2 linked regions of the Yarrowia lipolytica genome follow. The protein of the gene in region 2 binds, or shares a complex with, the protein of the main gene of each other region. Links are inferred from orthologs where the notes say so. Each region holds a gene or a part of one and is shown on either strand. Other genes may lie near its edges.

What was found. Proteins that work in one complex are often made in the same cells at the same time.
Region 1: the proteins of YALI1_D13790g (region 2) and YALI1_D08715g are in contact, whole or in part, in a crystal structure (PDB 5OKZ), measured with the Saccharomyces cerevisiae proteins. The link is inferred for Yarrowia lipolytica from reciprocal best matches to the Saccharomyces cerevisiae genes RRP42 and SKI6. Residues at the interface, in NP_010172.1 of Saccharomyces cerevisiae: Phe40, Leu41, Pro42, Ser43, Arg49, Ile51, Gly55, Glu57, Ile59, Ser61, Lys63, Gln77, Asp79, Asp81, Ala83, Phe125, Asp127, Leu129, Ile131, Ser132; in NP_011711.3 of Saccharomyces cerevisiae: Thr31, His32, His34, Ala35, Lys48, Ile50, Leu52, Asn77, Thr79, Lys80, Phe81, Lys83, Arg86, Glu125, His127, Leu129, Glu130.

What each region holds. Positions count from the first base shown.
Region 1 is NC_090773.1:870,175-873,302, forward strand, and holds YALI1_D08715g (uncharacterized protein), read right to left. Parts: upstream 1,409-3,128; coding exon 545-1,408; downstream 1-544. UniProt on the Saccharomyces cerevisiae protein: Non-catalytic component of the RNA exosome complex which has 3'->5' exoribonuclease activity and participates in a multitude of cellular RNA processing and degradation events.
Region 2 is NC_090773.1:1,377,414-1,380,567, reverse strand, and holds YALI1_D13790g (uncharacterized protein), read right to left. Parts: upstream 1,508-3,154; coding exon 569-1,507; downstream 1-568. Other genes in the region: YALI1_D13788g (uncharacterized protein), read left to right, coding at 1,678-3,154. UniProt on the Saccharomyces cerevisiae protein: Non-catalytic component of the RNA exosome complex which has 3'->5' exoribonuclease activity and participates in a multitude of cellular RNA processing and degradation events.

The DNA of each region.
Region 1 (3,128 bases), about 510 kb from region 2:
GAAATGTTCCGTCGTTCTGGTTGGAAATGTGTAGAGCTCAAACCTGTCTTTTTATAACGGCTTTGATCGGATATCATGATACAATCAGAATAAACAACGCATGCTGAACCGACTGGTGCGATAGTCTGGTTCGAACCAGCTTCATAGGCAGAATCTGAACGTGTACGGTATCTCAAAAAGCCAGCCGAAATGGTGTCGTCTGAAATGTGTAATAAAAATATCTTATCTATGTATACAGAGGTTCTATCATTGGCTATTCTCTTCAGAGGCTCGCGTCTACTCGTATTAGAGAGATGAGTGTCATGACGGGCAGGTTCTCCTTGGTGAGGTTCTCAATGTCGAGTTCCCATGTCGAGTTCCCATGACAAATCCCTTTTGCGAGTCCTTTTGCGAGTTTTTTTGCGAGTCCTTTTGCGAGTCCTTTTGCGAGTCCTTTTACGTGCCGTTTGCGAATTCCCACAGTGACATTTGCCCCAATCGAAGACCATCCGATATCCCTCCGTCGTTCATCTCCCTCTCTCTACACCTCGCCCCTGATGCTATGTTACTTTCTCTCGAGTCTATGCTTACCATGCTTTCTAACGGCGGCGTCCATAATGTCCTGGATGGCGTGTGCCCCGCTCAGCGAGGTGGCGAGCACGGGTTCCAGCGACGCCATGGGCAGCTGTGTCTCGAGCGTCAGCATTGAGATCTTGTCAGATTTGCCAATGACGCCAATCGTCAGAAACGGCACGTCTTGCTCCTCCAGGGTGTTGAGATCAATCAGAGCGTTGTTAGAGTAGACGCCGGAAGAACAGGCAGACACATAGTCGGTGAGAGGCACGCCGGCATCGATCATGGCCAGGCAGGCGGCGTTGATGCAGGCAGGAAGAAGCCCGCCATCCTGGGCAATGACGGTGATATTGACGGCAATCTGGGTTCGGGGGTTGAGTTTGGTCAGCACCGCCTCCTCCAGCAGCTGGCGAATGAGAATGTTCATTTCCGCGAGCCGCTTGTCGTTGCGTTGCCGCTTGATCCGCGTCTCTGTGCTGAACGAGGCCACATTGACATTGACACTGATGACCGCCCGGTCAGTGGTGTTCTGGCGGTTGTCGGGCTCTCGAGGTCCGTCCACGGTGCAAACCACCTTGGTGTGGCCCCACTCGACGTACGACGAGCCGTCGGCCGAGGTCGGGTGGGTGTTGATTTTGCAGTCAAAGTTCCGGATCTCGTTCCACCGTCGTCCGTCGGTTCGCAGACCTTCGGGGGAGTATATTTCGTGGCGAGACTGGGTTAGTGGTGAAGAATATGAAGGCAAAAGTGCCCTGTGTGTCTGATCCAAAGTGCCTGTGTCTGATCCTAAGCGCCCGCGTCTGATCCAAAATGAATCACAATTTGCAGACGTGTCAGAGAGTTCCCAAACGAACATTGAGATGCTGAAAACCAGCAATTGTCAGATGTCAAAGTCGTCAGATTACAGTCGTTTGAAAAACGTCCGCAAATGCCTGGGAGGATCGATCTGATTTCTTTCACGACGCATAGATGGTCGGAGGCGTTAGGGCGGCTGCGCCTTTCCTCATATTCCCTCCCCCCTTCCCTCCTCACATCCTCCTCGAACTCACCATTATGTGCTGTTGGGTAGCAATTGGTGTATTGATTTTCGATATTTATTTCTTCATGCAGAAAGGCAAATCTAAGGCGTGCGCAGAACAACATGGCCAGGAATTGAACTGGCCCACTACAACAGAAAACCCCCCGTTCGAACCGCACCAATACGCATTTTGCTCGCTATTCCCACTTCAACCCCAACAGCACATGCCACCGTTCTGCACCCCTCACATCTGTCATGTACACCGTTGGCCGGTGCAGCAGCATGTCTTTCCTTATCGCACGTCCAGCGTCTGGTGGCGGAGCTATCTCTCTCTACGATACAGTAGGGTAGGGAGGACTGGCACTTCCTCCACCTGGCACGAGAACAATCCAACAGCATCATCTGGTCCCGTCCGGTCCAGAAGGCGCGTGTTTACACCCAAAAGTGGAGCTTTACACTGCCGGTTTGTGCCGTATACGGTTTTGCTGTGTGTCAACATGTTTCGTTGCCATTTTTTACACTGGTCCCAATTTTTTGATACATTTTTTCCATGTTGCAAACAAGGCTTGGGACCGGGTCCGCGGGAGGACTCGTGTGTGTTGACTGCCTATTCGGGAAACTCGGGACATTTGAGCCACAAACCCTGAAGCTGAAAGACACACGGTCTATCGGTCTATCGCAGCAGTCCTACTTGTAGGTCCAACATGGATCCCTACAGCTTGAAAAATAGGCTTAGTTTTTTTTAAATTTTCAAATTTTCTTTAGTTTTTTTTTTTTTTGGTCTACGCTTCGGGGAGCACTTTGGCTTCAGAAAAACTGGGTGGTTGAAGGATGCGGCTGGGGAGGACCAGTGACGGCGGTGGGGAGGAGTTGGGGCCGTCTAGGAGGAGATTTTTTGGTGGACACGCTGATTCCGGTTGGAAAAACACCACTTGGACGTGTGTCTCGACGGTGGTTCGGCCTGTCCATGGTCCTCTTGTGGCGGGTCTCTGACGGGCCATGTCTCACTACAATTTCCCACCACCGCCGGATAAGCTCCGTCGACTAAGGTTCAATAGAAATTTTATTGGTGAGTCTAGCAGAGTGCAGGGTCAAAAGACAGATCGCATTTGCTGCTGCAGTCTCTTCGCATTAGCAGCTCTTTCTCCTCCCCCACACCCTCATCCCACCACCCTATGAACCCGGAGACCCCACTGGCGTCCCCCTTCCACAGCTCCTCTTCATACTGAGATTCGGTTCGCCTCACCTGGGGCGTAACATCCAAAGACACCGGGTAGCATAGAGTCATAGTCATCGACCTATCTCTCATCACACCACACTCAAGGCAAGTCCAACACAGATCAACCGTTGTATAAAGCCGAGATCCACTTGCCAACTCGACACGTTCACAGATCGCCTGGCCCATCGCTCGACTCATTGCTCGGCTCTGTTTATCTTTCTTTTCACTCAACGAAGCACATCATCGGTCAGTCTGAGAACGACGCTCCCAAAGACGAACGTGACACAACCACAAAGGATATAAAGACGCACATCCCCCACGGCCAGTCCTTCACCTATC
Region 2 (3,154 bases):
TTTCATGGCCAGAGTCATTCACCCATACAACTATCTCATACATATATTAGTTAGATATCGGGGTTCGTTTGTTAAAGAGCTAACATGGCCAAGTCTCGACATCATACGACAGGGAGCTGCTTGAAGTCACTTGAAAGATATCAAAGGAAATAATACAACAATGAAAGCTTTCTGGAACATGTGGGATGCCAAAGAATTTCCATTAATTACTCACTGGATGGAATTTATCCGTTGATAGTGACTCCCACTGTCATCATCATCTAGACACCCGCGGATAGACTCAGGTGCCGTTATCAAACGGTATCCACAGTGAAGTTGATGTAATCCGTTGTATGAATTGTTCATTGAATCATCTTAGCTGCTCTAGGGCGAATCAGTAAAGTGATGAGTACATATCATCTGCTACAGGTACTTGTACATTCTGTAGTGTACTGTACGTACTGTTCAATATCAAAATACATTATGTGCAAAGCTGTGGTCACTTGTATGACACGACCAATGAAATCTAATACAGTCGTGCACAAGCATTGTGTATATGTGTAAAGGCTCATCCTTTCTTTCCAGGTGCTTAGAACAAAGCACCATCCTCCTCGTCAGCAGTGGCGTCGAGCGCAGCAACAACCTCGGGAGCGGTGTTGGTAAGCAGAGAGTAGGCCTTCATGATGAGCTTTCGCGAAGTACCCTTCATGTTCAGGTCGATGCCCTGCTCCAGCATGCTCTGTTGCTGGCTAAGCTGCTCGGGAGACACGTTGCCTCCAGCAGATGCAAGATCGATGATTCGTAGAGGAGCGCAGACCTGGCCGTTGCACCAGCCCATGATGAGGCCAAGGTCAGACACAGACTCCTCTTCGTGGGTGGGATCGACGAGAATGTTGTTCCCTACCACTGCCAGAGAAAACACCAGAGGCGGGGTCCACGAAATGGCCTCCGATCCGGAGTTGTTGGCCAGAATCTCGCCTCCACAGAGCGCCAGAGACTCCTCCCAGTCGTCGGAAAATACAGGGACCTCCTCGTGCTCCTCGTCATTGGCTGAGGACACCAGAAGAGGAAGACGTGTGCATTTGAGAGCCAGGAAAATGGCCAGAGACACCAAGTTCAGAGGAAACGAGGTGTGCGACAGCACCAACGCGTCAATATGTAGCTTGAAAGCATAATTGGACCGGGTCAGACGAAGCCGGTTTGTGTCAATGCTGGAAAGAATGAGCGTCTGCAGTACGGCAGACAGCAGCTTGGGCAAGGGACTGTCATCTCTGATATCGTCAATATCCACCTCCACGGCAATCAGTTCGTCCACGGACGAGTTCTTCACCACCTTGGCCTTGACTCCCACAATGCATTCGCCTCCGTCCGACGTTCTTATTCGGGCTGATCCGTTTGTTGCTGGCAAAAAGTTCTGCGCTGCATCCACCGGCCGGAATTGGTTGGGCTCTCGGGCGTCTGGTCGGATCGTGGGCGTGGCCTGGAGCGATTTGCGGAGATAGTCGATTTCTGCTGGCGAGAAGGGCATCGTGTGGATATTATGTGTAGCGTGTGCGGTGTTGTATACGCCTTAAATTTTTTAAGCTGAGGGTGGATGGCGATAGTGGAAAAATAATTGTGCATGAAGGTGGAAGCTTAATTTGGAACTTTCTAAATTTTTTGGTAGTGCTGATTCAAAACGTCATATCACAAAAACCGATGCTGGATCTGCTCAAAAAACTGGATCAGCACACGCTGGGGAAACACGCGGATGAACTCACCGACCGCCTGGTCGGGGCGATCGGTCCCTCCGTGTCGGCTGACCTGGTGAACCAGGCCAAGGACCTCCAGCTGCTGGAAGAGATCTTGACACCCCAGGTGTTCCAGGAAAAGGTGGCCAATGTGGCCGATAAGTGCGCCGAGTCGATTGGTACATGCTCGGAATCAATCACCCTGGTCTCGAGTCAGATCCCTCTGCTCTCCAGGCTGCTCTTTGACCATGCATACAACAACCTGAGATCATATGTGTCCCAACCTCATCTCAACTACCTGGTAAATGCGGATCTGCCTGCTGTGGAGGAGTCGAATTCTGGCGGATCTGTTGACGTTGAGACCGCCGCAGTATCTCTCAAGTTCCTACAATCTCTTCTGCTCAACAACGACCTGGGTAACCCACAGCTGGACTCTCTGCTTCTCCATGTTGTCTGTCTGTCTGACTCTGATCTGGTCCATTCTGCTGCCGTGCTTCTCAAACTGAGAATGACCAATGTAGCTACAAGCGCCCTGGCGTCGTATCTGTGGACCATTGTCTCCGATCTCGTCAACTCGTCCCTGGACGACCACAAGACCGTGGGATACAAGCTGTGGCTGTGGTGGCTGAGTGCATGTGACTCTGCTACCCTCGAGTCCGAGACTTTCCAGTCGCTCTTCAAGACTGACCTTTACTGGGCCTGTCTCCTCAGGCCTCTTAAGACTACCTCCTACGACCACAAGAAGCTGGCCCTGTACATCATCTCAAGATCTGTCCAGCATATTGTCAGCGACATTTCTCTGGAAAGCATGCAGTGGTCCACAACCGACAGAGATGTTCTGCTAGAGCAATGGAAACGTTTTGCTACTCTCACCGAGATCATCGCCATTGACTCTTCCTACAACCAGACGGTGGCCTGTGAGGGAGATATTCTCATGTTCCTCGGGCCAGAATGCAAGCTTGCTCCTCGTTGGGGTATCGCTCTCATTGCCATGGGACTCAATGCTACCATGGACACCGTGCGGAAGTACATGGCCAAGGTTGTTCTTGCTCTGCCAATTGCTTCTCTGGTTGTCTTTCAGCATGACATCCCTTTCTTGGAATCCAAGCTGCTGCCTTATCTTCTCGAAGCTACCCATTTCCAGACTGCTAGACACGACGATCAGAATGTTTGCATCTACGGTGATACTCTGGAGACCTTTATCGAGGGTCTCTACACCACTTTTGACAAGTCTCGAATCGAAGCGCTAACCATCTGCATCTTCAAGCTGCTCAACATTCTGAGAGAAGGATTCGACCCCTCCAAGATCTACGCACTAGCAGGCGTCATGTCTGGACTCAAGGCCACAGAGTTCCAGCTGAGCGACGCAGCATTGGACGCCTTTGCTCCCATGCTGCTGCTCACGTCCGAGACAGGTGTCCGACGAAAACTGCAGAAGCTGTACC